Drosophila melanogaster: one gene and its partners. The protein of the gene in region 3 purifies or fractionates together with the protein of the main gene of each other region. This does not show direct contact. Each region holds a gene or a part of one and is shown on either strand. Other genes may lie near its edges.

Region 1 (6,812 bases), about 14 Mb from region 3:
CTTTCGTTGTGTCACCCCTTTTCTCCCACATGCCTTAAAAGTCGGGCTGCTTTCACCATCCACAACACAGCTTAAATGTACGAGAGCAATAAGTTTAAACACACTATACAAATATACATACATGACAACGCTATTATATACAAATTACATTACACTAACCATACTCAAGTCGAGAAAAACGATAAACGAAACGAAAATTGAAAAGTGTAAGCTTTTGTTGTATATTTGAGAATTCTAAATAAACGAACGAACAACGTGAATTTCGAACTGTAACGGTGCGGCCAGAGTGATATACTCCTCCGAGATATGAATATATCTGGTGTTGATGGTCCTCTGGCCACTGGGAGTCGCGTCTCTTTCCCACAGCAGCAGCATCGTCGTCACAGCAGCCACATCCAATTCAATCCCAGCAAAGGGAGCTCATCGCATCGCATCGCATCGCATCGATCCGCTCATCGACCATCGCGAAATCTCAGCCCAGCTTCCTTCCCTTCCCCTCCATCTCGTCCATCAACTAGAACAACAACAACAACAAACAACAATAATAATAAAATTTATTAATTATAACGATAATAGAACAACAGCAGCAGCAGATTGTCGCCGCTTTCATCTCGAATCATGCAAAATGCACACCATACACATTACATTCAGATACAGATACAGATACACTTGCAGCTGCGATTAAAATAAGGATAGAGGTAAATTATTTAGATTCATGTGTTGTAAGCTGTTTTTATAGCTTCAGCTAACTAAAGATAGTTTCAAGTGAACTTAGCCTTATTAAACAATATAAAGACTGAATTAAACGATGTAAATTGTAACCATAATCAATGATGAGATTATTGAATACTACATAGTTATCTTTACAATGGACATAAAGCCTTAACTTCCATTCGAATTTTAAGAGTTAAGAGAGTCAAGCAAATCTAAGAATTTTATTTATTTTAATCGCAGCCTTTTGCAAACGTACAGACATCACCACACGTACATACATTTCAAAAACAGCAGGCAAGCCTTTTAGAAAGTGTATAAAGAAAAACACCCATCAAGAACAAGAACCAACAACTTACATGTTATCAAGTGACATAACGTAAATAACAAAAGCCAAACTACTACTACCTTCCCCCCAAAACAACAACAACTCCACTTATAAAACTGCAACAGCAACGCCGCTGTCCACGCCAGCGAGTTCGCCCTGTGGAACTAAATACCACACCTACTCCTCCATCTTCTTTGCCAACTTCCGGGAGCAGCAGCAGCAGGCGATGGAGGAGCGCGATCGTGAGCGGGAAAGGGAGCGGGATCGCCAGCGGCAGCTGAGCCTTCGCGTTGGCAATCGCCTTCGGGAGACGGCCATCAATTGCACCAGCAGCAACTCCAACACCACCGCCGGCCAGGGGGACAATAATAATGCGGATGGTCGCAGCGTCGACGGGGACGACCAGGATCTGGAGAACGGAAACGGATGTGCCGGCGGCAACGGAACAGGAACCGGTAATGGCAACCGAGCCTACGTGACCACGGACACATCGGGCACGCTTTACTACGGCACCCAGAGCAACAAGATACGCATCACAGAGAACCCACTGCCCGAGCCGGTCAGCTCTTAGATTGTTACTGCAGAGTCCACATAATCTCCAAAAGACACCTTGTTATTGTTGTTACCACACACTGAGAAAAAATAATGCAGCAGCAGCAGCCAAGTCAAGCCAAGCTTTCAGCCGTGCTCCAAGAGACACAAAGCCACAGAAACTCAAAGAATAAAAAATATTATGAAATACAAGCAACTCACACACCGCTAGGAAATGAATGCGAATGCAATAATTAACCACCAAATGAGAACCCATTGATTGATTGATTGATTGATTGGTTGATTGATTGATTGTGTTTCCCTATGGTTTTCGAGATGCGGAGAGATATTTGTAATTTACACTTTGTGCCTGAGCGTAACGTAACGAACATACACGTATATATATCAAGCCAGATCGGTTCAGATCAGCAACAGCAGTTTAGTTTTCTATGCCCAATTGATTACATTGTTTTTTTTTTTGGAGTGCAACACATATTTTATGACGAGCTTGCTTAGTTGTTGTAAACCGAACAATATACAAAATATATACATATGTGTATACAGATGACACAAGCAGAACAAAAACTAAAAACTAACGAGCATTTTCGCTTAATGTTAAAACCTAAAACGAATCCAACTGTTAACTTAATCCCAAAAAATAACAATGTAGCATATCAAATAAAAAACGAAAAATCTCTCAAAATTACGTATATACTTATACAAAACCCTAGATAAATCGTAGACAATTGCGAATTGCGAGTAACTTCAAACCAACATTCTGTTCACAATGAATGAGGAATAAATTCTAGACACAGGACACTGTCACAAAAACAGGATACACACACACACACGATATTGAATATAGAATACATACATATAATATATATAAATAATGACAACTTTTTGCAATAACTTCGAATTCAATTCAATAAAAGTTTTAGAAGCTTGAGTTCTATGTTTCCATTACTTCGGTTGCAGCATTTCGCTGATCCTGCGCAGGGTCTCCTCTCGATCTCGATGCATCAGTTCCGATACTTGTTCCAAAAATTGATGCTGCTGCTCGCGTTGCTGCCGCAAGAAGCTTTCGTTGGTAGTTTTGATCTGCGCAAGCAGCTGCTTTTGACCTTCTATGATTGCAGTGAGTGCTTCAATCGGCGTTGGTTCAGCCTCCATCTCGATGGCGTCCACGTAGTCCTCGCTATCGGCTGCCGCTCTTAGGAGATCGCAGGTGGAGCTGGAGTTGTCGCTGTCACTTTCCAGCGGAACGCTTGGTTTGCCTGGCGGCTTGAGAAAGGAAGGCTTGCTGATGCGAATGAGCCTGCTGATGGCACTTTCTCTGTTCTCCCGCGGCGCCTGAATCAGTTCATCGAAAAGCTCAAAGTGGCGAGGCAGAATGCGTACATTATCTAGCCCGTGCTCCTTGGCCTCTCGATGACGCTTGCAGAGCAGCCTTAGTTTATTGCGCAGCTGGTGTGGCGTGCGTTTGATGTCCTGCTTAGCCAGGATGTTGGAAATGTGCACCAGGGTCTGGAAGTTGCGCTTCCTTGAGCCATCCAAGGCGCGAAAGAAACCATTGTCCCGAATGATGAGTAGAAACGAATCAACCTCTTCGTCTGTCCAAAAGTGCGCTAAGGAACATAGGAATTTAATTAAATATGGAATAGGAACTAGCTATTATAATATCTACCTCCGCTTCTCTGTGATGCATCACCCTCTTCCTCGTCACTGTCATTGAAATCACTATCGCTTGCGCTGCTCAGATGGGCTTCCGCTTCAGCATCTGCGGCCGCCTCCTCTTCGGTGGGATCCAGGACCAGTCGCATCGCCTCAAAATGCTCGAACGTTTTCCCCGTGCCGTTCTTGACCTTGTTGTACAATCGCCGCAGCTGCTGGAACTTGATGCGCAGCTTCTCAGCACCCTTGTGGCAGTTGCGTTTTGCCATCTCCTTGGACAGCAGCTTGAAGACCTTGGCATTGCGCTTTTGCAGCAAAGCTGCTCGCAGTCCAAGTGTGTGGATCAGGTCTAGGAGGAGGTCCACTTCGCCCTCTGCCCACTTGCAGCGGGCGACGATGTTAACTGAAGATCCTGAGGCATCCAAAGCATCTGCGAAGGAAAGTCGCCTAAGTTCGTATTCCAATACATTCCTGCCCGGTGGCACCTACCGTCCCCTTCGGTTTCTGAGATCATGCCGGACTGGTCCTCGTCGGCCTCCATATCGCTGTCACTCTCTAGCGCCTCTTCATCCAGATCAGATACATCTTCTCCCTGCATCAACTCGTGCACCGCCTCAAAGTGCTCGAATGGTTCGCCGCCATTCCGAGCTCTCGCATACTGACGCCGCATCTGATGGAACTTGACTCTCAGATGCTTTGGACTCTTGGGGCAGTTCCGCCGGGCCATTTCTCTGGACACCATACGAAACACCTTTGCATTGCTTCGCGGCCTTCGAAGAGCAGCTTGCAGTTTAAGTTGGTGAATGATTTCCAGAAAGGTCTCCACCTTTGCGCTGGTCCACTTGCAGCGACTCGCTTTCCCAGAACTATTTTCCGACACCGAGTGACTCGCATTTCCCAGATCTGTTACGAAAAGTAAGGATTTGGTAACATCGAACCGGCTGAGGACGCTGCTTACCCACTCATAAGGTGTGCGTATTTCTGCTCCGTTTCGTGCTCGTCCTCATCGTTGCCATTGAAGAGCGAGAACTTGCTCATTTTCAAATGGTTATGCTTAAATCGCGCAATGAAATCAATAAATATATATTTATATTTGATCGGTTTTTTTTTAGCTTGATCAAATCATAACAATAACAAAACTGTCATCGATAGTAGGACGCGTTAAGCTACCTATCGTTATCGGCATCGATGCGGCCGTACCATACATTCTGCTCGAATGTATGTTTCATGTAAGGAATATGTATGTTAAATGTAGAAATAGCCTACAATCTGAAAAAAAAAACCAAAACCAACAAGAAACTATGATATTGATAGCCAAAATATATACGCTAAAACATTATATTGTTATTAAGCAACATATTTTGATCTCATTCAAAGTCGTCTGAATGGTTTTGAATAACATCCAATATCCAGTCCGTAAAGTGTGTGACATTGGTGTAAATTCCCAAGCCACTGCACAACCGAAGTCCTTGGCTAGCGACACCGAACTGGAAGACCCTTCCCTGCCCCTCAAATGTACGAATTGCGCTCAAAGGACCTCCCGAATCGCCTTTGCACGAATCACTGATATAACTGCCGGCACATATATAGGATATATCGAGAGGTCTTCCAGGTCTTTCACAACTCCATTGAGGTAATTGTTGCAGGGTGGCAGTCTGTAGCCTATCTTGCTCTTCTCCATCACTATTTGTACCCCATCCGGTGAAATTGAAGCGTAATATTGAGAGTGGGTTCCCACCCAACGTTTTGCCCAGAATCAAGCAGATTGGTCTGACATAGTCTATGGCGAACTTTAGTTAGTTACATATTTAGTTCCCAAGAAACTTTTGATAGCGAAATGCACTTACTTGAGAATATCACACTCCTTTGCATTCGCAACAGACCAATATCATATCCTGGATTACTATGAACAATTTTCCTATCCACGTCCACATTGTAGGCCCTTGGTGTGCAGACAAAATCATCGCAGTCGAATATGGGATGTCGGGTATCGTATTCGCCCAGGCGCACATTCCTTAAAAAAGGTCATTTTGAGGATCAAATGTGTAGTAATAGTATGGTATGCACTCACATATACATTGGGGAAATGCAATGCTCGGCGGTCAAAACAAATCCTAAATGAACATACAATGATAATTTGAGTATATATTTCTTATTATCAATTCCAAATACTTACGAGCAGTTATAAGTGAACCGCCACACACTGCTTTTCCCGAAATCATTACTCTGACCATCCAGGGATTCGATTCCATGCCAGCATCTCTACCTCCATCGATTCGCGCTCTATAACCATTACTGCTCGTGGTTCCACAGTCGTTTTCCAGTAAGCGTCCGGATTCCGTCCGGATAATCCCAATAAAAAGACAGGCTACTATCACAAGCTGCCGTATAGGTAGACGCATCTTGTTCAGAGACTAAATTCGAATGGCATCGGTTTCTATTTTTATGCTTGTTCTTCGGCAAACGGCAGAGATAAGAAGTGATTTATTCAGAAAAAATACTAATACAATTTTTACAATCGATTTGAATGTGACATCGTTTATTTTCAATTAATGACAAGATTTTTTTTTTTTAATTAAATCTCTTGAACTTTAATATATTTCGAACTTCGATGCGTTGCCCTGCCATTTTGTCGAATATTAATTAATTTTCATATACAATTCTGTTATACATTAGTTCTATATTCCTTATTATGTCTGTTATGTTACAAGTTTGGCCTACGAGCTTGGATAACCAAAAGGTAGTATGACCTGTAGGTTTGAATTGAACCATTTTATTAAATATCCATTCCCTGTGGTACGATACATTGGTGTAAACACCTGCCACATTAGCCGCGCACCTTTCGGATCCGTAGCTGACCAAGCCGTACTGGAAACTCAGAAGCCTGTTGCCATAATGAAATTTCGAGCTCAATGGGCCTCCAGAATCGCCCTTACAGGTGTTACTGGTATGACTGCCAGCACATATCTGCGATCGATCAGCCTGTTTGTTGAACTTAATGTTACAGTATGATATATCCATGTTATATAGAGTGGCATTCAGTAGGATCCGACTGAATTGACCATATTCTGTTTCACCCCAGCCGGTAACCGTAAACATTGGAATGCTTTGCATTTGCTCGCCGACAAGAAGGCAAATTGGCCTAACATAATCTATAACGAAAAACATAAAGCTTTAGTCATCCACGTGAGATAAAACCCCTCTATTTACCTGAGTACTCCACAGCTTCGGACATACGAAGCAATGCTATATCATTCTGGAGAGTGATGCCATTATAATTTTCGTGAACAATTTTCATATCCACACTAATGTTGTAGAACTTTGGTATACAGTGATTGTTAAGGCAGTATGGCATGGGATCTAGTGTTTCGTAATCACCCAAGCGCACATACAGATCTTCAAAGGATACGCAGTGCGCTGCTGTCAGGACGAATTCTTAAAAGAAAAATAAATAAATAATAAAAAAATAATAAAATAGTCGACTATCTCGATTATTTATTCATATGCTTTTCAGTTTTTGGGTACATGTAAGTTAAGATATATATATCGTGGACTATGAACTATATTA
Region 2 (8,252 bases), on a different chromosome or scaffold from region 3:
ATTTGTTATTAAAACAAAAAGAGTTAATTATAGCGCTTAAAAGGTAACAGCTGTGCGTTTGCATTGTTGCTTAATGCAAGCAAGTTAACTACCCTGCAACTAAAAATAAATATTCAAATCGGAGCTAGGCAATCGCATTGGCATTGGAATTTTAGTAGTTTTGTAAACTATATTTGTTTAAATCGGTTACACGCTGACAACTATAAATTATAATAGCAGTGAAGTGAATGAAATTGATAAGCTTATCTTTTCGGAAGCGCAGCAACAATAAGCGCGTTCCACCAAAATCAATTGAAGTTCTGCCCGTTGAAATAGTTACTTTTTTGACTGCGTGGCTACAAGTTGTGGGCGTGTTCGAATTTTGGGTATGTGCGTACAGTAGAGACTGGCTGACACGGACGGAACAAGGATTTAGTACATAGAAGGAGTATCTTTTCTTTGAAGTTTAGTTTTGTTCCTAATTAACATTCAAAATTATATATCTTTACATAATTTACAAAATTAAAGATAGTTGGGCGACCACTGTACACAGATTTATTATAAATATAAAGAGCGGCAATAATTGTAAAGGCCGCGTGTAATAAATAGCGTATAAACCGAATCCAATAGCCATATACGTACGTGGATCTCGTTTCAGCCCAATCATGTCCAAGTACTTATCTGTCCTACTGCTGTCCGCGGCACTCGTTGGAGCTGCCAAGCCGGAAGATAATGAATCGTGCTATTCCTTCGCCGGCGGCTCCGTTTATCCCGACCAGCCGAAGGGCGACCATCAGCTGCAGTACACCAAGGCAGTCAGTGAGTTCCATTGGATGCAAAAAACCAGGGATCACTATTAAGTTGCTGCTACCCTTATTTCCCCAGTTTCCAAGCCAGCTCCGCAGTTCGAGGGCACCGCCGTGGTTAATAAGGAGATTGTGAAGCTATCATTGTCCCAGTATCTAGGGAAATATGTGGTGCTACTCTTCTACCCACTGGACTTGTAAGTTTACATTTACATTTAGTATGATCGCATTTCTCATTGCCATTTTAGCACCTTTGTATGCCCAACGGAGATCATTGCCTTCTCCGACCGCATCGCCGAGTTCAAGAAGATCAAGACCGAGGTGATTGGCGTCAGCGTGGACTCGCACTTCACCCACTTGGCCTGGATAAACACGCCGCGCAAGGAGGGCGGCCTGGGCGACGTGAAGATCCCACTGCTCTCCGATCTAACGCATAAGATCAGCAAGGACTACGGAGTCTACTTGGAGTCCAGCGGTCATGCGCTGCGCGGTCTCTTCATTATCGATCAGACCGGAGTGCTGCGACAGATCACCATGAATGATTTGCCCGTGGGACGCTCTGTGGACGAGACTATTCGTCTGGTTCAGGCCTTCCAGTATACGGACACCCATGGAGAGGTTTGCCCAGCAGGTTGGCGGCCAGGTGCCGATACGGTAGGTTTTTTGAAGCATTGCCTTAGGTAAATTCTTTTTGATACCATTACCTTTACAGATCGTTCCCAATCCTGAGGAGAAGACGAAGTACTTTGCCAAGAACAACTAGGGACAGATAGAGATGCACATTACCTTAGTAGCCTAGCCCAGTTACATTCCTAATGTTCACGACTGAATCACGATGCAAACGAACAATCGCTAGAGTCCTCTGTACAGAAAATCCAAATCCGCAATGCCACCGATTGTGAATATTTCGCATTTGCTTTGTACAAAACATAGTTTGTTTATTTTACAGCATAACTGAGATATAAATAAATTCATGAAGTACATGTGAAGGTGATGAAAATTGCGCGGCGCCACAGGAGCGGTACCAAAAAGGAGGAGATGTTTTCGATCTCAAAATGCCTTGAAAGCTGGCTCACTAGGCCACTCTAATGGGTAACAATTCGATTGCAATTAGTTTCATACAAAAATATATGTAATATGTAATATGTAGTAGGTAAAAGGTAATAGTAAATTAGTTAGGTACGCCATGGTTGCAATTAAGTTATCCTGTGCTCCGACCTATGCGTACAACAAAGCTAGGTCTGTCGAGGTATATAAATCTGGGGAAACGGGACGGGGGCGACGACAATAACTAGGACGTCATAAGGCACTCGTTCTCGTCGGATTCTTCGTGTGTAGTCTGCTTTCTGTTTTCCGTTTTGTGCGTTTGTCAGTAAGTGCTTCATTGTGGTGAGCTTTAAATGCCAAAACCGAGGTTCATAAAATAACGAAGGTGCAACTGCGGTTCAGATCCAAGTTGTGCGGGAGATTCCTTTGCTGCGGAGATTCCGTATCGATCAAAGCGTTGCACTGTTCAGATTCCCGGAAACGTTAATCAAATAAGGGGTTAAAAAGTTCTTAGAGCTATGACCATGCAACACGTCGAACCAAAAAGCAGTCGGCGATTATAATGTTTGGGCGTTTGTTCCTTTAGAATGCGATTCATCATACAGCCTACTGCTCGTAGTAAACCGCGTCCTGGAATTAAGACAAACACAAATCAATGAAGGGAAACGAGTATATAGCACTGGCATATGCTTTATTTCACTCAGTGATATATATGATATACTGATATACTCACAATCAAAAAGAGCGCTGCGAATATGAGCGCCTTCATGCGGACATCCAGATTCAGGGGGAAGGTGACGCTGAAGTAGTCCGCATCGGTGAACAGCTCCCTTCCCAGTCCGGACCATTGTTTGCTGATTTTGCCGATCTCCTCGTTGTTGGCGCTCAATACCTGTGCGCGGTTAAAGGGGCGAGAGATGTTTGCGTTTCGCATTAATCGGTTCGCAGTTCGCGGCATCGCAATTAATTGACTCGCTCTGGACAGTCAGGCATGGCTAACCATGACGTCACTGCCTCGGACTGCAGTCTCTTTGCTTCTGTACGATCACAGCAGCGGTCAGTAAAAGGGCTCATAGATCGGCACAAACACTTGGTGCATTTTAGCCATAAAAAGTATAAATTGATTGATTGATTTTCCTATATCTAGAGGCATCTGTTAAATAACGTATACAATTGAAAATTTAAAACTAGTGTGGGTGCTATTAATTTGAACGCTTCTGTCTGTTCATAATTATTTAGAATATATGTATATAGGCACTTATAAATGTTTAATAATTAAAAAAGCAATTAAGTGGACGCCTGATACTGTTCATTTTGGAATTTTATAAAGCTTCGTCTTTGACTGATGAAGACCATACATATGTACTCCTCCGAAGAATTTAAAGCTAATCCGCTGACCGCTGCTGTGTGTGTATACACTTGTTTGGGCATTGGGAATCGAGATCGAGAGCCAAGAATAACCACTTGTTGGCTGCGTACTGACCTTGAAGTTGGTATCGCTGAAGCACTTGCAGGGACAGACGGGTCCCTCGATCTGCAGGACGGTATCGCCGCATGTGTTCTTGATGTTGAACTTGGGCCGCATGAAGGTGCAGACCTGCTCAACGCTACCGATCACCTGGCCGGGTGGCGCCGACACCTCCACGGCGTTCATGCAGCTGGGAAAGCAGCAGAGGATGTCGCACTTGAAGGGCCGGTACAGGTGGAGCACCTCGTTCTGAAAATTGTCCAGTATCTTCATCTCGAAGGGGCGCGACCGGCCGAGCATGTTGCGGGTGCAGCAGTCGCTCTCCTCGTACGCGAAGTACACATTCTGGCCCAGTGAGTTCTTCACCTTGAAGCGGTTCTTCGTCTCGAAGCCGGTGAGCAGCTCCAGTTTCTCGATCTTCTGCGACACGAGCAACTGGTCCAGAGCGGTCAGGTATTCCAGTCCCTGCGGGCAGTTGGGCATGCCCACGGGTATCGACATCCAGTTTTCTGCAATGGGGCGTTGTTCCGGATTAGCTCCCTATGTATTTATATTTATCTATATGCATAAAGTGCTTTTCCGATATCTATGCATGGGTAAAGGAAATTAGCATAGCTACAATGGCGGTCAGGCGATTAGGGCCAGTGATAGCAGTTCTTAACATAAACTAATATTTTAAACAATATGTATTTACGTATTGACTTGGAATCACTTCACTTTTTGGTACATTATAAAATATCTTTTTTACATAGATAACTATGGGTGCTATTGCCATGCCCGCTGCTGTACTAAATGCCAAGAAAGAGACGACGGCATTTCCGCCTTTCGCACACGCCCACTAGCCCACACAGACGCGCGCAACCGACTAGGTCCATCCGAGTGATGGAATTCAACAGTGGACAAATCCATATATGTCCATCGCTACGCACCAGGTCCGTTGGCATTGTTGCCAACATTCGCCGCCTGCGGCTGCAGGACCACTGCGCCATTCTCGTCCTGCGGTGCATTCTGCGGGAGCACCTTGTACTCGCTCATCTGCATCATTGTTATTCCCAGCAATTAAATTCGTATCGGATTCTTTAACAGTTCACAAAACACTAAATGCAGGGTGACCGCGTTGCGAACGCCGAAAAATGCAACGCAAATGCACCGTACGAAATATTCTGTCATATATTTTGGTATTTATTCGAACACAGAAAAATATCAACAAAAAGCTTTCAGCACTCAATGCAGTGACAAGTTAAATTTGTTATGAGCTGACGTTTTTGTGGATTCATTTGTATTATTGCATTGTATTGCAATAGTTTCCTTAAGCTAGCCTCTTTAAGTTCTAAGAATTTTGAGTTTATTTGTGCCAGTTGGTATATTCGCGCCTGCCACCGACGGTAACACTGCGGCTATGATTGGATGATAAGCGATCCATAAAAGCCTGGACACAAAAGACCTGAAACATGCTGCTTGGCAGCCGAATCTCCAGTCGAAATGAGCGAATCTCTTGATAAGACCACCAGCCCGAGCTCGGCCAGTTCCAGGGCCACGCCCCCGGGAACGCAGGATGCGGATGAGGGCCACGACGTGAGCGATACCTTCTACACGAGCCAGCGCAAGAAGGGCAGCCACGTATTTCGGGTGCGCCTTGACGCCACAGGATTCACCCTGCAGCGGGAGTCGCCGGGCGGTAGCATTGTTAAGGAGCAACATGTCCGCATATCGGACATTGTGGGTGCCCGCTGCATGCGGCCCAAGAAGAGCCGGCGCCTGGCGATGTCGGGCGCCTGTGCGTGCAGCTCCGGTAATCCCAATTCGCCAGCCATCTCGGCGTCCGGCGATCACCATCGCCCTGCCACCACACCAAGCAAATGCAGCACCAATAGTCGGGATAATATTCCTTCGGATGGCGGCGATGTCAGCGCGTTTCTCTACGTTTTTGCCTATGTTCTGAAGAAGAGGAGCCTGCGGTCGGAGTTGCACCGGGAGCGAACGGTGCTCACTCTGCGCTTCCGGTCGTTCGACACCTTCGAGGACAACATGAGGGAGGCGGATCGTTGGTACAGATCCCTTCGCTGGCAGTTGCATCGCACGCTGGAGGAGATCTTTGTGGCGCCGACGGTGGATGAGCGACGCCGTCGAGTGCTTGTGCTGTTGAATCCCAAATCCGGTTCCGGTGACGCTCGTGAGGTCTTCAACATGCACGTGACGCCGGTGCTCAACGAGGCCGAGGTGCCCTACGACCTGTATGTAACCAAGCATTCCAACTTTGCCATCGAGTTCTTGAGCACCAGGTGCCTGGACGCCTGGTGCTGCGTGGTGGCTGTCGGCGGAGACGGTCTCTTCCACGAGATAGTCAATGGACTGCTGCAGCGCCAGGACTGGGCCCACGTCCTGCCTCATCTGGCACTGGGAATCATTCCTTGCGGCTCCGGAAATGGATTGGCCCGCTCCATTGCCCATTGTTACAAGTATGTTATCTTTGTTTCATGTTTCATTAGGAAAAACCCCCTTTTGACTTATGTGGATCTTCATATTTCGTGTAAAACAATCCCTCCAGCGTCTAGCCATGCAGTTTATCATTAGATTACATTCATAAGCAAAAGTAGTTTTCTTATCGTGTCAAATGGTTTTGTTGTTTTGCAAGTGGGGATATCCCCTTAAAGTTAAATTGACGTCAGACTAGAACAAACTTTCCACATCGTTAAGTAATTGCCCCCCAATTTCGTTCAACATTTAGTGGCATATCATCGAACTTTGAAATCTTTATGTTCTTTCTTTATGTTCATCTATAGCTCAACTTCCCGATAAAAGAGTATAAAAAGGGTAATAGAAAAGAATGTTTATAGACTTTAAAACCACATTCAGGTGTCTCATATCCGATCTATTGGTCGTAATCCGATTATCAGTCTTGTGTTGAAACCTATTCACTTGAAACCTTTCTCCCCAGCGAACCATACTTCAGCAAGCCAGTGCTAGGAGCTGCTCTGACCGTAATCAGTGGACGCAGTTCACCCATGGACGTGGTCCGGGTGCAGCTGCAGAGTCGCTCCCTCTACTCCTTCCTGTCCATCGGCTGGGGTCTGATCTCGGACGTGGACATCGAGAGCGAGCGCATTCGCATGTTGGGCTACCAGCGCTTCACCGTGTGGACCCTCTACCGTCTGGTGAATCTGCGCACCTACAACGGCCGAATCAGCTATCTTCTGACGGACCATGAGGTGTCCTCAACCCATAGCGCTACCGGTTATGCTGCCCAGCGGAGAATGCAGAGCAGCCGTAGCTGCAACACGCACATCGACATGCTAAATGGGCCGGCGCCCATCTATCATTCCAGTGCCGAGTACCTGCCACAGGAGTTTGCGGACGTGATCTCCCTGGAGACGTCCATCAATCAGTCGTTCCGCTCGAGGTGCGACAGCTGGTTGTCGGGGGGATCGCGGCGCAGCTTTTACTATTCCATATCGGAGAGCATCTACCACAGTCTGGCGGATGAGAGCGAGTTCGCCGGCCTGGCGGCCGCCTCGCTGGAAAACCGGCAGCAGAACTACGGTCCGGCAAGCGAGCTGCCGGATCTGAACGAACCGCTGTCCGAGGATCAGGGTTGGCTGGTGGAGGAGGGCGAGTTCGTCATGATGCACGCCGTTTACCAGACCCATCTGGGCATCGACTGTCATTTTGCGCCCAAGGCCCAGCTGAACGACGGCACCATCTACCTGATCCTCATACGCGCCGGCATCAGCCGCCCGCACCTGCTGAGCTTCCTCTACAACATGAGCTCCGGCACTCACCTGCCGGAGTCGCACGACGACCATGTGAAGGTGCTGCCAGTGCGAGCATTCCGCCTGGAGCCCTACGACAATCACGGCATCATCACGGTCGACGGCGAGCGCGTCGAGTTCGGGCCCCTCCAAGCTGAGGTCCTGCCGGGCATAGCCCGCGTCATGGTGCCCAAGTAGGAGGAGCTTACTGAAGACCATCAAGCAATAGAAATCTCAATTTTGGAATCTCTGCATTTGTAGCTAATACTTAGGGTCCCAGGTGGCCGATATGAGAGAGTTGTGCATTCTACATATTTCGTGTTTTTGTGGCCTGCTTCTGCCAACCAATCATGTATTGTTAACATTTTAAACACAATAACAGCTATTTCCGAAATATCTAACATGTTTGTTTATAAAACGTGTGCCATATGAAGTGCACGTGAATTTATTTTTATCTCGGCTGTTCAAAATAGCGATGAAAGTCTTATTTATTTTGTTCTTTTTTTTTTTAAACTGTGTAACGAAATGAGATATATATTCAAAATGTTTAAAGATGAATACAAATAAATCTTCATGAATTCAAAAATCTTAGAAAGTAACAGTGTAAGTAACAGAGCTAAATCATTTACAATTCCATATTTTAAAGTAGGAAGTTAAGAATATAACATCTTTGAGCTTGAAATAAAAAATAAAAATGTTAACTAATTTCAGCTCTGTTTCAATTTGTTTTCTTCTCTTTACTATATAGTTTAAAATATTTTTCAAAATTTATTATCAATTAAAGCTTTTATTAAAATGTAACGGTTCCAACCAATAACGGTAATTTTTCGGTATTTCGTGCTTGCATTTAGTATTGTTGTGGAACGCAAATGACAGCTTTTAGAGAGTTTCAGCCGGTCACACTGGTCGAAAAAAAAGAAAAAAACAAATCCGTTCCGTTTGTGAAAAAACATTTCCGAGTAAAAATAAACAGCGCTGCTTGCATTTCACATAGTGTCAGCACATTCCGATTCCAGTCCGCGACTCTCCAGCACGGAATCCCAGTCTGCATTCCGGTCAGGAAGCGATTCGTGCTCTACAATATGTCGTCCGAGGAGCTGGCGCCAATTAACGAGCAGGACTTCAAGGATCTCAAGGAGCGCATGAAATTGATTGTGGAGGCGGATCCAAAGCAGTATCACAATGACTTTTCGCTGCGTCGCT
Region 3 (7,289 bases):
TGAGGGTTTTGATCCGTCGCGAATACCATTGGCGCATGCTCTGAATACTGTCGTAGACATCGTAGTGGGTGACCAGGCCCAACGAAAACTCCGAAGTCAGCAGGTCAGTGATCTCTATGAGCGATGACTTTCGTACGTTTAGATTGCAGAAGTGCTTGTGCGCGGGATCGTACAGTTGGGGAAACTTGGAGTACAAATCAATGAACTGTGTGGTCAGTTGATTCTCCTCTGTGAACACCAGCTGTCGTGGGGAACGCATTAGAGTGGCTTAGAAAGCTGTTTGTCACTCGGACTCACCTTTATTTTGCCATCGCCGTCGACATCATCGCTGTCCGCATCCTCCAGACTACCGCGCTCTGCCAGAAAGCTGTACTTTCCATGGTAGTACAGTGGAACCTTGGTTAGTTTCTGAGTTTTCTTCTGCCGCGAGATCGACGCATACTGCGCGTGTAGGCTGGTGATGCACTTCTTCAGCTTATAGGCCGTTAGGTGAAGATTGACGGTCGCCTTTAATTGCTCCAGCAACTCCTCATAGGCATTTGCGCGTTTCTCCTTGTCCCTGTACGACTCATCCGCTGGATCCCAGAGGCATGTCTGCTGCTTATACAGTTCAATGAACTGTGTGATCCGAGGACTGCGTCGGTAAAACGTAGGATTGAACTGCCGGGATGCAAAACGTCTGCTTTAATTTGTTGGTTTTTGTTGCTGGTGTAGTCAGTTGCTTACTTTGGTTAAAGGAGCAAAGTGTGTGGAGTTTCTGGTGCCCAATTCGCAGTCAACTGTCATCGAGGAGGAGTCCACCTCGTCGTCTTCTTCCTCCTCCTCCTCCACCGGGCTGGTGCTCTCGTCGTTCTCTGATGAAGGTGGCACGTCAACGAACATGTCTTCAGCCAGGCAATTTTCCGGAGGCTCCTCCACTATGAACACCTTGGCTGGCGAGACCTCCTCCTCGCATTTGGCTGACGAAATGACTTCGGAAGTAGTGAGCTCTTGCTGCATGCTTGGATTTGCTTCCAGGTGCTCCTTGACGTGCACGATGAACTCTCGCCACCGCTTGAACTCCATCTCCACGTAGCAGTCATTTTGGTGAGCACACGCCAGAACAAAGTGCTCGAAGTTGTTCCTGGCCAAAATGTTCCCGCAAACCACCATGATTTGCTTACAAACAAATAAGATACAATGCCAAATAGCACAACAACAACGCCATTTATCGGTATCGATAAGCACCGGATGGTCAGTGTTGGGAAGATACCCGCGGAAATTCCATTGAAACGAAATCATCTCAATTTTAGAAAATATTTTATATGTAGACAAATAATTATATATACTATACAGCTTAAATTTAAATCTTGCTATAACATGAGTATTAGTTGTGTTAAATCAACTTTTAAATCAATTATAAATTTTTAAATATATTTTAAACTATTTCATTTTAAGCTGGAATAAAAACACTACTTTTAGTTGACTGATTCTGGTACTTATTCCCATTCGGAACAAGAGTCGAATTCCCCGACAATCAAATACTCCTTACTTAGCCAGTGGAAATACAAGTAGTTCATACGGACAGACGGACAGGGACAGACCGACTCGGCTATTGGTCCTTATCGAGAATATATATACTTAATATTGTCGGAAACGTTTCCTTCTGCATGTTACACACCTTTCATCGAATATATTGTAGTATACACTTTTTTTAAAGACACTAGAATATTAAGGTGCGTAACGGCCATTACATTGGTTTTCAACTATGCAGTTACTTTTTTGGTGACGGCCAAAATTGATCTCACTCCGCACGCGTAAAATGGAGAGCGTAAATTTCTTAAAATAGAATGTACTTCCTTGTGTGTGTTAAAACAACAAACGAGAAAGTGTATATGAGCATACTTGTGCTAGAAAACTTTCGTCTCGAAATCAATTTTGATCTCAGAAACGAAGGTACATACATACATATTTAAAGTTTTGGTCAAAGCTTGTTGCAATACGATCTACTACAGAGTTATTTAAAATTTAATGCCTTGACTATTCTTTTAAGAAGAGTTGTTATTAATTAAATACCGCTTATTTATTTTTGCTTATAATTAAAAATATTTAAAATTGCACTGACGACATACTTCAACAAGGGTCTATGAGCAGTATCTTGTACCGTATAAAAATTATTTTCATCATTATTTAAGCTAATAAACTAAATAAAGTCTTAAATCGTTATTATAACTATTGTAATTAAAAATATAAATTTGGCAAAAAGGAAAATACATTTAAAAAAATATATTTCATAAAAGAAATATAAATACATTGTTAAAAATGAATATATATAAAATTTTGTACACGTCATTTGATCAAAAATAATAATAATAGAGCTGCTAGCTCTAGAGCTCTCCGCTCTCTGACTTTTGAACAAAAACTCGGGAGAGCCTCAAGCCAGCTCTAGATCTAGAGCCAGAACCAAAAAATCATATGTTATTCTAATATCTCCTCTACAAGTAACGGTTATACAAATTTATCTTAAAACGAACTTATTTTTCCGGCTTCTTCTTTTTTTTATGAATAATACATTCCTTAAACCAAATTTTGAAAAGGAAAGTATGAAAAAGGAAAAGCTTGTGCATATGATTATCATACACATGTTCTTATCAAATACACAAAAGCCGTAAGTGCTTAACAACACGCTTGTTATTATCACTACTCTAACGTAAGTTTATTCTTGATTTACATCAAATGAAGCTTACTGATTCTCGTTATCAAAAAATAAAGCAGTTTCTAAAAATGTCCCTCAAGGCGAGAGTTCATTCCGATCTGTGGCTGCGGCGATGTCTGGAAAGCGAAGAATGGTCATAGAACGTAGCATCACAGTACTCGCACTTCTTATCACGGATATTCAGATGTCCTTTGATATGGTTGGCCAGCTCGAACTTCTTGCGGAAGGTTTTGGTGCACATATTGCAGCTGTAGGGTCTAATGTTCAGGTGAACTCCGTTGACGTGGTGGTCCAGGAGTAGCTTGAGCCGGAATGTCTTGCCGCAGATGTCACAGACGTGAGGCCGCTCGCCCGTGTGGATTAGTGTGTGCACCTTTAGGTCGGTATCCACGGCGAACGATTTTTCGCAGTACTGGCACTTCAACTTGCGTTCGAAGTGGGAACGCAGCTTGTGACGGTCCATGTCTACGTGGCGGTCGAAGCGCCTCGGGCAGAACGAGCAGAGGTACGGTAGGTCGCCCACCTCGTGCGCCTTGACGATGTGCACCCGTAGGTTGTAGTCGCCGTGGAAACGTTTATCGCAGTAGTCACAGTACAGCACCTGACTTTCGGAACCCTTGGCGGGCAAGAAGCTGCACATTTGCAGATACTGAACCTCTTGCTTGCTGCACTTCTGAATTAGTTCCTTGGATTTGAGGCGACGAATGGCATCGTAAAGCCAACGGCGCAGCTTGTTGACCGCAATGTAAACGTCCGTTTCGTTGGCCTTCACCACTGGCTGGAATTCCTTTGCCATTCTTTTGAAGGCATCTGCACGTATCTCTATTGAGCCAAAGTCTGGCAACGCTTGATTATACAGCACGGGATAGTTGGCATAGGTCTCTATGAATGAGGTGGTTATCAGGTTTTCCTCCTTAAAATTAAGCTGAAAAAAGGATTTTTGGTCAGAAAAGAGCTACATTATAGTGGGCTAGTTATTACCTTAATTGCAGTCAAGTCGTTGTCCTCCTCGTTCTCCCTTGGCGTTACAACAGGCGCCACACTGAGGAACTCGCACTTGGCAAAGTAACGCGCTGCAAGTCCAACAAGCTTTCCCCTTTGTTTTGTCTCCAAAGCCAGCGTGTACTGCACGTGCAGTTGCTCGAGCGTTTTCTTCAGTTCTTCCACGGTGAAGAGAACATTGGCCTTGCGGTCCATGCGTTCCATTATCGCCTCGTAGGCCATGCTTCGTGCAGGCTCGTCCTGGTAGTGTTCATCGGAAGGGTTCCACAGGCAGGGATGCTCTTTGTACGCTTGGATCAAATGCAGCACACGGGGATTGCTCCGAATAAACGAAACTTTGAACTGAATGACGCCGTTAAGTGGAATGAATTTCAGCTTAAGTGAAATATACTACGTACTAACCTTGAAAACCTGTCCTGGTCTTGTTCGCCTGGGCGGACGTCCAGGTTTTCTAGGAGGTGCCAAGTCATCCTCAGACATAAAGAAGTCACTACAATCAACATCATCATCGTCTGTGTTTAGGGGTATGTGATTTTGGGAAGACTCGTCCATTTGTGTGACTTCCTTTCCGGCTGGAAGTTCCAAAGAGCTGCCGCCTGGACCGAACTCCCAGGAATTGTTTGTAGCTGCAGACCAAGCGGTGGCGTCTTCCTCGTACTGGATATCCTGCGGTCAACGAGAGCTCACTTATTTGACCACCCTTGGTAAGCGAGTGAAAGAGTCTTACCTTGCTATCAGCTTCCATCCATTGATCGACCCCATTGCTGTTTTCGATCACCTCGAAGAACTCATCCGGCCCATAGGCGATGGCTGGGTCCGCCGCGTCAACGACGCTGTATAGCTCCTCGGTATCCTCTTTGATTTCATTAATCCTAACGTCCTCGTCTTCGCAGTAGTGCGCCGATTTCACATGGACGATGAACAGCTCCCAATCCTTCAGCTCGCTCTCTATGCTGCAGTAGAGGCATTTCAGCCGGAACATCTCGTACTTGGAGTTGGTCATCACATTGCCGCACAGCTCCATGCTTACGTTGTGCGCTCTGATCTGACTTCAGCTTGAAAAATGTTCCTTTTCTGAAAATATATTCGTTTATTTAAGGTAACAATTTTTTTATGCGTTTGGGACTGTGTTGGACAACGACTGAAATAATTATGTATCGATAGACTATTCGATAAAAATCTATTTTTAAAATAATATTTAAACACAATTTTATGAAGGCTTAAAAGAAAACGTTTTAACAACTGTTGGTGGTGCTTAAAAATGATTAAAAATCTGCATTTCATGAATGAATCTTTAAAGTAACTAGTACATTTCAATTTTCGAAAAAAAATGTTATAAAATTCTAGTACTAACCATTTGGAAAAATCAAAATCAATCAAGCTTATTTGTTGAGAAATTATATTTTTTTTGTCATATCGATAGAAAATAGCGAGACAAATATGAACAGGAAAACACCAAAACGTTTTTCAAATGTATGGGCGTTACAGTTGTCGGCGCCTTGTGGGCGTGCCAACATTTTGGAAAAAATAGCGCAGCGTAGGCAGGGGAATGTGTTTAGGCTTTTAGATGTACATCCCCAGATTTCGACAGATGGACATGGCCAGATAATGTAGAATTTATATTCTTAATTATTAATATACATTCTTAAACCGTTATATAAATAAATTTGTTTAAACATATTGTTTCACTCTCATTTGTGTATTTTTATTTCCCCCCATTTGCAAAAGATTGCCTATTTATAAACTGTCATTTTATTGCAAATTTAATCAAATTCAGTTCTCTGCATCCACAGCATCTTTACCCTTTTGTGAATTATTACGAAGAATGTTGTGGGTGCGCTTCATGTGCGTATTAAGACCCACAAACTGGGAGAACCTGGAGTCGCAGAGTTTGCACACAAACTTCTTCACCTCGGAGTGAATCTGCCGGTGTCGGATGAGTGCATGGCAGCTGGTGAATCCCTTACCGCACACACTGCAGATTTTGTCGCGGATGTTTAAATGGCCCTTGATGTGATCCGATAAGTCGACCTTTTTCACAAAGTCTTTGGGACACATGGTGCACTTGAAGGCTCTGATCTTCGTGTGAATAGCCGTGACGTGGAGCGTCATTTGGGACCGCAGTCGGAAGGCCTTGCCGCAATGCTCGCAGACGTAAGGCTTGTGGCCAGTGTGCGTACGGATGTGCAGCTGCAGGTCCGACATCACAGCGAATGAACGCTCACAATGGGTGCACTTGTGGGTCTTGCCGATATGGACCCGCTGTATGTGATTAGCCAGCTCGCAACGTCCCACAAAACTTCGGTCGCACAAGGTGCATTTGAAGGGCAGCTCGCCGATGTTGTGCGCCTTGAAGATGTGCGACTGCAGGACATGATCCGAGGACGTAATCTGGTGGCAAAATTCGCAGACCAGCCGCTGCTTGTACATCTTTGCAGGCATGAACCGACACACCTCTAGGTAGAACTTCTCGGCTGTACTTCCGGCATAAATGGCATGCTTAGTGTTCTTGTAGTACCATTGGCGGAGATTCTGGATGGCGCGGAATATGTCATCGCTGTTGATGTCCACATTGGGCACTGAGATTTCCGCAGCCATGCTCTCGTATGCCTGTTTTCGAGAGCTCATATTGGAGAACTCCTTGTGGTTGGAGTCGTATAGCTGCGGAAAGTTTGCGTACATCTCTATCAGGTCGGTAGTCAGCTTGTTTTTCTTGGAGAAATCAAGCTGCGGGCAAAGTATGCTTGTTAACAATTTCAATTTGAATTAATTCAAATATCTTGCCTTAATTTTTTCGTTATTCGTAGCCCCTTCTTCATCGTTGCTAGCGTTCAAGAAGCAACACAATTTGTATATACTGAAAGCCAGCGATTGAGGTTTCTGTTTTCCAGACACCACCCGCTTGTGCACGGTGTTGAACTGCATGTGGACTTTCTTGATGGCCAGCTTTAAGGCCATCTCGTTCAGGAATACGGATACAGTTGCCTCCAAGTCAATGGCCATACGCTTCAGGGCTTCTTTGCATTTCTTGGGTTCCTTGTAGTCGCTGTGAGCGGGATTCCAAAGGCACGGGTGTTCCTTGTAGATCTCTATGAACTTTATGGTTCGGTGATCTCGGCGAAAGAAGGATGGATGAAACTGAAGTTGAATGCTGAGATTAGTTTAGCGCGTTCATGAATGGCTTCTAGAAGTACCTTGTATGTGGGTGTGGTTTTTAAATTGGCATCATCAAGAGCTGGTTCACTTGGATCCTCGTCCTGGACGGATTCTTCTTCATCTGTAACCAAAGATACGTCCGACTCCTCAGTCTCGTTTGTCGACGAACGCACTGCGTCAATATGCAGCTGTACACAGGCTCCGTCCGCCGATTCGTCTTGCTGGAATATCGACTCTTCCGCTTGGGGTTTCTCCTCTGGAGGATCTACGTGCCCAGACTCCGTAGAATTTTCCCCCACTGGCTCGAAGTCGTCTTCCATGCTCCTTACTTTGCTATGCACGTTGCGGATGTGCAGCACAAACTCCTGCCACTGGGCCACCTCCACGTCCGTTGGACAGTAGGAGCAGCGCATCAGGAACTTCTCGTAGTCCCTGC
Region 4 (7,630 bases), 2.4 Mb from region 3:
GGCTGACAATCGAGTGCTTAATGTGATCCAGCATGGCCTGAAATGAGAACTACGTATTAGCCAACGGGAGTGGTGAAAAAAGTGGTTTGGCTTTGCCAAAGTTTGCAGACGAAGTGAGCAGCTGCCATGGGTGGACAGCTGCCGGTCGATTGACATTCTCTCAGGCTTTTGCATCTGGCCGCCTCTTAACCCTGAACTTGCATTGGAAATCGATATGAGTGGGTGGCCCAGTGGGCCTGGATATACGATTCCAACCAAAAACTTCACTGGGAAAACAAAAACACACAATCCCGTATCCGAATTCTCTAAATTCCCAGCATTTCAAGGAAATCGAATTACATTTAAGGTTTAAAGGCTACAATTAGAGCTAATCCGCAATGGAGTTTCTGGACCCAAAGATCCACAGCGCCGACAAGTTGTGCGACCAATTCGAAGAGTATAAAAAGAAGCGTGAGGAAGCGCACTTGGAGCTGAAGAACAAGGTGAACACCATGTTCAATTTGAAAGCGGATATCAAGGAGCTCAACGAAAATATGGAAACACTTCGCATTGGAATGCAACAGCTGGATGACCAGCAGAAGGTTCAGCTGCATCAGGGAAAGCTAATGTCTCAGTCGATGTTCGGTACCATTGAGGCTGCTCCTCCAGATGAAGGACAAGTCCCTTTGAAGGACGAAGATACCATACCCAACAAGCTCTTGATAAAGTCCGAGGTAAAAAAATGTCTCTTTGAGGGCTGCCAAAGGCGAATAGACAGCCAGTTGCTTTTGCTGCACTACCTATGTGATCATGAGAACAAGGAAGCTTCCTTTCAGCGCTTTCTTCCCGTAGTGAAACATGAACGGGCTGTGCTTTCTTTTAAGCCGACGAGCTGTAAGAATCCTGATAATCAGGTGTTGGGACTCCTGGCTTACAATGCACAACAGTTATTGATATCCCAGCGGCAATGTGAGCCCTATAACAGCTTCCCGCTGAACCAACACTCGCACCTGGATAGTCACATCCCGTTGGTGGTGCTAATTTCCCAGACATTGCCCAATACGGCTCTGCGGAATAGGCGTTCACCAGATAGCCACAGAAACAGTGAGTTCGTCCTCTGGCTGGTTACACCCAGCGACGGACTGCAGTTGAACGTTACGCTCAGTCTCTATGGAAGAGATGTTGCACTAAGAACCAGCTGTGTTTTAGGTGTTCGAAAGGTTAATAATAACCGGGACGCGGACTATTACATGGCAGTCGACGAAAGTTACTGGCGTCTGACGTACGCCGAAGTGGAGAAACTCTCAAACAACTTTCGTGACGAACTCCACCTGGAGGTTGTAGTTACTGAGTCCGAGGGAAACGTGTAACCTCTGCTTACTTACATTTGCGTTGTCCTGGAGTGCCTTGCACTTAGACTGCTCCGCCGGATCGGTCAGCTCCGCGATGCGTTTGTCCAGTAACTGGGCAGGACAGAGAACAAGAAAAAATGACAATAAATTGCATAATGCCTGCATTACGTGGCACAATACTCACGTTCGTTTGCTCAATCATCAGCTGGAGGTAGGCATCTGCCTCGGAAACACGGCGCGCCACCAACTCCAGGTGGTTGGGTCTTCTGCCGCCTGTTCCGCTCCCGCCCCCTTCCTTCGTGTAGCCACCGGCGATGTAGAAAGCGCTTTGGCTGTCCCACAGACGCGACCGGTTCGCGTGGCGTCGAATGGTGTCCTCCAGGCGGCGCACCCACTGCTCCCGCTCCTCGTTGTGTCGCGCCTGCAAGCGTTTGGAAAGTTGGCAAGTTTAGTGGGCTCCTTTGCTTGTGTATGGGTATTGGAAAAAGTTTTATCGTTACATCAAGGCAACAAAGTCAAACAAAAGGTGGAACGTGAGGACCAGACAGTGGTTTCTGGGTCGATGCCCGGATACCCTTTTCCGGTAAGAGGACGAAAACTCTTGGCAAGCAAAGCGGATAGGCCATCATGCTTGCTTTATATCTTTTGGGACGAAAACGCGAATTGCAAAAAGAAACGTGCTGCCCTCTTGATCTACATAGTTTTTGCTTACGTATACCACTAGACGTCATAAAAAATCAATGCAAGTGTGGAATTTAAAATGAGTTGGTTCTTCAGTTCATAAAACAAACAACGTCGTACTTAAACTATTACGGTGAATTATGAACTATTAGTGAAACTGCAAAACATTGATCAAGCTTTCCTTAGACAATCTTTATTTCCATTTACTAAGGAGACACTTACCTGAAAGTGGAAGGTCTTATGGTCCACAGTGATTGTGAATGTGTTGTCCTCCTGGTCGTCGATTCCGATTAGCGCATCCTTTAAACGAACACAACCGCGCCTCACGCCCTTTATCATCTTATCCTTCGACTGTAACAGAAATGCAGTCGGAATTAGGAAAGTTCATTAAATCGCAGCTCATACTGTCAAAGGGCTATTACGCCTGCTATAAATTAATGTATTCTAATCAATGCTTGGGGAATATAAAAACAGTGTTCGGCGTGCTGTTCACGCTTAAATGTTCGCCAGCGGTCAAGGCGGTAGAGCTGCAGTCCACCAGTCCCACGCCACCTAAAGGATACAGGCCAGCGGAAGCTCAACACAAAGAAGCGAAATGGAGGCGTCAGCAAGTGAGCTCCTCTTGGATTTGTCAAAAAACTGTCTGATGGTTTCAATAAAATTGTAGGTATAAATTTGCAGCCGGTGGTGAACGTTCCTACGATTTATAAGGATCCCTGGTACATGATCACAGTGCTGGTCCTCTATCTGTACTTCGTCACCAAAGCGGGTCCGCAGTAAGTTCACATGCTAATGTCAGCGTCGCTTGTTTGCATGTGGGTCAGTGGACTTGACATTAGCAATTCAGCGGGTTCGCTGGCTTACTTATATAAGAAAGAAGACCTTTAATACCTCGCTTATAGTTTCATGGAATGGCGCAAACCTTACGAGCTCAAGCGACTTATCTTGCTACATAATTTCATCCAGGTGGTTTCCTGCATATATGCTATCAAAGAGGTGGATATTTATAAATTGTACAGCAGCAGCAGCATCGGCTAATTGCTTTTCTCTCGCAGGTCCTGTACATTACGGACAACACCATATACATCTTTTGGAAGTGCCGCGACATCGGGAGCAGCCCAGAGCTCGTGAGGCGGTACTACAACTTGGCCTACTTTCTCTTCTGGCTGAAGATCTCTGAGCTGATTGAAACCGTGATCTTTGTGCTTCGCAAGAAACAAAACCAGGTGTCCAAGCTGCACATCTTTCATCACTTCTCCACGGTAACGCTGGTCTACGCACTGATCAACTTCAACGAAAATGGTAAGCTAGCCGGCTGCTGGGTGACCGACTATTTTCATAAATGCGTTCAATTGTACAGGTTCTGCTGCTTACTTCTGCGTGTTCTTGAATTCTATCGTTCACGTTATCATGTACTCGTACTACTTTGTGGCGGCAGTGGCGGATAAGACCTTGGTGCAGGCCCTAACTCCAGTGAAGAAGTGCATCACAGTGATTCAGATGACGCAGTTCGTTCTTATCCTCACGCAGGTTGCTTTCCAGCTGGTATTGTGCGGCATGCCGCCCTTAGTGCTTCTCTACTTCACCACCGTCATTCTTGGCATGTTCTACGGCTTTTACGACTTCTATAATAGTGCCTATCAAGCCTCGCAGCGGCGCAAGAGTCAGACCCCTCAGTCAGACTCAAAAAAGTAATCTCCTGTCAACAAATCACGCAATAAAGGGGTACCAACAAGTGTGTATGTGTATCCAAATGTATCTATAGCAGATAAGATAAGGCTGCGGGCCATGAGGAGTTCGTTCTGGGTGCGATATGGGTTTCAGTCAGGAGGTGCACTGCAGCCACTCACCGTGTAATAGGACAGCAGTCCAGCATTCTCGTCCAGAACGAAGAAGCGGTACTGCCAGCCCTTCATCACATTCGTCCACTTGCTTAGCGTGCCCTCCAATGTGCCAGAGCCACCACTCCCGCTCTGGGGGGGTCCCAGGCTGGGGGCACTTCCAGTGGTGCTGGCCATTTGATCCAGCTCCCGTGACACGGCCACCGCCTCCTCCTCCGCCTTTGATCCCTCTGCGTCCTCGTGGCTAAAGGCTTTCCTTGTCCCCGGGCGCGGACCTGCCTCGTTCCCTGAGCTCTTTTCTGTCCAGGAGCTGATGATGACGCAATGTTGCTTCACAACTCGCACCCGCAATCTGTCACAGCCTCAACTCCGCTTGGAATTTGCAAAACAAAGCAAAGCCCTGCCAACTATCGATGTACGTAAACATCGATGATTTTCTAGCCCTCCGAATCGCAGCTCGAGTGTGACCGTGCGGCGACCGCTGGAATATACCACCTACTATACCTAGCACACCTTACAAATTTGGAGTCATTTGGAAAATCATAACATGTAAAATTAGCTAGCTATGAAATTATAACCCTGTTTAAATCAGCACAATAAATAAATAAACAATAAACAATAAAGCACAAAAGTATTAACTGGCTTGTAAAATTTTAAGTAAGTTCGAGTTCTCGTAGTGAAAATATTTAGTCGTTCGCTATCGATAAATATTGTCATTTTGCAGCACAGTCACACTGTGATATTCAGCCTAGTTTATTTCGCGGTATTGAAATGTGATGTTTATGATAAACAACAAATAACGTTACTTGCATAGAACAAGTCGTAAGGTTACTGTGAATCTTTTACATCTTAACATTAAATATTGTTTGATTTCAGGAGCAACATGTATCCAGTGTCCTTTGCGGCATTTCAAAAGTTAATCGTTAATTTGTCTGAAATTGCAAGTGAGTTGAAAACTGCCAATGGAGACAATAGAACGTTGGTCGAGTGGAGCAGATGGTACTACAAAGAGTTCTACCGGAATCCCAGCATACGGGCAAGGTTCCCTGTCAAGGTGGCGCCGTGTCCCAGGCGGACACGCGACAACTTGCTTAAAGTACCGGAGCCAGGAGGAATTTCACAAAACGATGTTGCAAACGTAGCAGCTGCAGGACCATCTCAAGTAGAGCAACCCGAAGTCTTAGTTGAAGGCAGCCAGTTGACGACGCTCGCTGAAACCGCGAAGTCCCATGATGCAGTTGAAGGCGTTGCAGTTGAATGTAAACCATCAGGATCGGAATCTCCAGACGTAATTGTTAATGTGGAGAGGTGGGTAATATTATTTTCGAGCAGAGCAGATTAACCAATTTTGACTCATTTCAGATGTGGCGCCTTCATCTTTCCGGTATCCTTTGATGTATTCCTACAGTGCATCAATAAGATGTTACTGTTCAAAAAAATTGTCAGGAGCATAGAACACTGCCTGGTCCTCTTGTCCGACGATGAGCGTCGTCTTCTTACACTACAAAGGTTCTACAACCGCTTTTACATGTATCCAGAAAAGCGATCCCCTACGAATATCTTCAATGCAACTACAGAAATCCCTTTGGAAAAGTTGCTTGAATCTGGGAAACCACTGGACAAAAAAGCGGTCAAGACTGTGGCGGAGCTTACTGCAATGAAATCCCTTACGAAAAAGTAAGTTTGGGACACTTTCCAAATACTCGTTGTTTACTATAAATATTTCACAGTTCCATCGTCAGCTTCGAGGTATTTAAGAAAAATATGGCAAACTTATCGGACATTGTGGAGCAAATGAGGCAACTGGATGCTAATTATGCGAGCAAGGATGTCCAGGAATGTGCCCTTGACTATTACCTGGCGTTTTACATTACTCCGAGGATCCGATATAAATACGCATACAAATTAAAACCTTGCACGTCGACTTTCAAGGCCTGCATGCTGTCCATTCTCGGCAAAGATATTGCCGAAAAGCTTAGGAAAAGCCTCCCTCAGTTAGCTAATCCCTCGCCAGGACTTGATTCGCGCAGGCCCAACACTTCATATATTACTGAGAGCAAAGGGTCATTAGGGTCGCAGAATACCAGTGGCTCTTCACAAATCCAAACCAGTCCCAGCATGGAGGTTGCCCACGAACCGAGTGAAGGTCTGTCCCAGTTAGCTACTCTTTCGCCAGAGAATTGTGCTGCGGGAGCTATTAGCACGACTGAAGGGCTATCGAGTTCACATAATACTTTAGAAACTTTCGAAAACCAAGCTAATCTCAGGAACGATGCCAACAAACTAAGCAGATGTATGCCGGCATTAGCTTCGCCAGAACGCCATCTGCACAGTTCGAAAGCCCCTGAGAAGTCATCTGAAGTCTTAAGTCCCCAAGTTAAACCCCATCAGAGCAAGGAGGTTGCCGAAGAACAATCAGATAGAGCGCCCCAGTTAGAGATTCCTCCGTCAGGTTTCGAAGTGCCCATGTCCAAGACACCAGAGAGTCCTGCTTCAAAAACCAGAGCTTCGGACGAGACCCCAGCCAAACCTGAAGAGATCACAGATTCTACCGATGTATATGAGTAAGTTAGCGTAACCTGAATTGTTTTCATAATTTTAAAACCACAATTTTAGGACTTCCTTTGTGACGGATGTTGAAGTGGACCTTAAAAAGTAAGAAAAATATAAATTACCATTTTTTTAAATTTTTAAGTAACAATTTTCAAAAAAAATTTTTTAGACATGGGCGCTTTATTTTTCCCGTATCACTTGAAACTTTTCGGCAATATATTAACTATGACGAGATTATCCGAGCAATTCTAGTAAATAATCACATTAAAGACGAACATCAACTGTCAAAATTAATTTCTGATCCTTCGCACCCACAATGCAAAAAATTTTTCCGCCAGTTTTACAATAAATTTTATGCACGCAATGATGTTCGTCAAAGATTCAAGTACAAATTCAATTGCCCCAATCCTAAGATGCTGGCTAAGCTAAAACAAAAAGCTAAGCCACTTGATGAAAAGGCTCTTTTTACAATGAATCGAACAGATAATGCAAAAGCAGTAAACGAATCCAAGTCCCAGGTACCTTTCACTCCTAAAACAACAACAGAAAATTGTCCACCAAATCCCATTTCTTTAGAGATGTTCAAACGTCATGTGAGCAATCTCGATGATATTGTTAATGAGATGCAAAAATGCGATGAGTACAAAGAAAAAAGCAAGGAGGAGGTAATTCAGGACTACTACGAGGGCTTCTATTCTGGACCAGACATGAGGGAGAAGTTCGAGTGCCGATTTAAACCGTGTCCCAGCAAAAAAATAAGACAATTGTTAAGTTTTCCACCGAAAAACAAGGAGCTACCCCCAAAGAATCCAAATTGCCAGGTGGCTTGTACCACAGAAAACCTAAGCGATGAAAGTTGTCTGCAGTCATCCAGAAATGTAGTACGAGAAACGCAAAATATCACCGAAGAGAAGTAAGTTAAACATATATTTGTTTTCAGATATAATAGTAATAAGTCATGACTCCAGCAGACCAATAGCTGAACATGAAAGTATACCATCCACAAGGACGCCTAGTTCTAATGACGACAAGCCCGGAGAAGAGTGTCCACCATACCCTGTATCCTTAGAGCTGTTCAAAAGTCATGTGAGCAATCTAGATGATATTGCTAATAATATGCAGAAGTGCGTTGAGTATAGAGGAAAATCCAAGGATGAGGTTATTCGCGACTACTACAAAGGCTTCTATTCTGGACCAGAGATGAGGGAAAAGTTCGCATGTCGA

What was found.
Region 1: the proteins of CG1603 (region 3) and CG10494 purify together in Drosophila melanogaster (affinity purification with mass spectrometry, with the first as the bait; one large-scale study listed by BioGRID). This does not show direct contact.
Region 2: the proteins of CG1603 (region 3) and Sk2 purify together in Drosophila melanogaster (affinity purification with mass spectrometry, with the first as the bait; one large-scale study listed by BioGRID). This does not show direct contact.
Region 4: the proteins of CG1603 (region 3) and CG1513 purify together in Drosophila melanogaster (affinity purification with mass spectrometry, with the first as the bait; one large-scale study listed by BioGRID). This does not show direct contact.

The regions. Positions count from the first base shown.
Region 1 is NT_033778.4:21,514,724-21,521,535, forward strand, and holds CG10494 (uncharacterized protein), read right to left. Parts: upstream 4,403-6,812; 5' UTR 4,283-4,402; coding exon 4,207-4,282; exon of another isoform or gene 4,203-4,206; intron 4,148-4,202; coding exon 3,734-4,147; intron 3,675-3,733; coding exon 3,258-3,674; intron 3,199-3,257; coding exon 2,534-3,198; 3' UTR 2,432-2,533; downstream 1-2,431. Other genes in the region: MESK2 (misexpression suppressor of KSR 2), read left to right, coding at 1,165-1,610; CG30288 (uncharacterized protein), read right to left, coding at 4,612-5,024, 5,092-5,258, 5,316-5,358, 5,421-5,646; CG30289 (uncharacterized protein), read right to left, coding at 5,888-6,396, 6,455-6,679.
Region 2 is NT_037436.4:3,042,408-3,050,659, forward strand, and holds Sk2 (sphingosine kinase 2), read left to right. Parts: upstream 1-4,679; 5' UTR 4,680-4,782; coding exon 4,783-5,759; intron 5,760-6,238; coding exon 6,239-7,247; 3' UTR 7,248-7,752; downstream 7,753-8,252. Other genes in the region: Prx4 (peroxiredoxin 4), read left to right, coding at 645-798, 865-982, 1,034-1,439, 1,498-1,548; scramb2 (scramblase 2), read right to left, coding at 2,439-2,462, 2,566-2,724, 3,316-3,809, 4,230-4,344; CG32485 (uncharacterized protein), read left to right, coding at 8,132-8,252.
Region 3 is NT_033778.4:7,511,544-7,518,832, forward strand, and holds CG1603 (uncharacterized protein), read right to left. Parts: upstream 4,848-7,289; 5' UTR 4,722-4,847; coding exon 4,425-4,721; intron 4,364-4,424; coding exon 4,100-4,363; intron 4,040-4,099; coding exon 3,677-4,039; intron 3,621-3,676; coding exon 2,784-3,620; 3' UTR 2,303-2,783; downstream 1-2,302. Other genes in the region: az2, read right to left, coding at 1-241, 298-660, 727-1,152; CG1602 (uncharacterized protein), read right to left, coding at 5,471-6,424, 6,482-6,835, 6,892-7,289. UniProt on the Drosophila melanogaster protein: Chromatin-binding protein involved in the organization of active promoters and insulators. Essential for the activity of heterochromatin promoters; primarily binds to specific motifs within promoters of housekeeping genes.
Region 4 is NT_033778.4:9,887,373-9,895,002, forward strand, and holds the start of CG1513 (uncharacterized protein), read right to left. Parts: upstream 4,318-7,630; 5' UTR 4,031-4,317; coding exon 3,863-4,030; intron 3,770-3,862; exon of another isoform or gene 3,708-3,769; coding exon of another isoform or gene 3,373-3,707; intron 3,315-3,372; coding exon of another isoform or gene 3,068-3,314; intron 3,009-3,067; coding exon of another isoform or gene 2,915-3,008; intron 2,789-2,914; coding exon of another isoform or gene 2,680-2,788; intron 2,624-2,679; coding exon of another isoform or gene 2,608-2,623; exon of another isoform or gene 2,506-2,607; intron 2,364-2,505; coding exon 2,235-2,363; intron 2,114-2,234; exon of another isoform or gene 1,753-2,113; coding exon 1,516-1,752; exon of another isoform or gene 1,443-1,515; coding exon 1,365-1,442; exon of another isoform or gene 1,350-1,364; coding exon of another isoform or gene 378-1,349; exon of another isoform or gene 276-377; intron 38-275; coding exon 1-37. Other genes in the region: CG12923 (uncharacterized protein), read left to right, coding at 378-1,349; CG30008 (uncharacterized protein), read left to right, coding at 2,608-2,623, 2,680-2,788, 2,915-3,008, 3,068-3,314, 3,373-3,707; tea (telomere ends associated), read left to right, coding at 4,737-5,161, 5,216-5,530, 5,584-6,417, 6,470-6,508, 6,576-7,319, 7,375-7,630.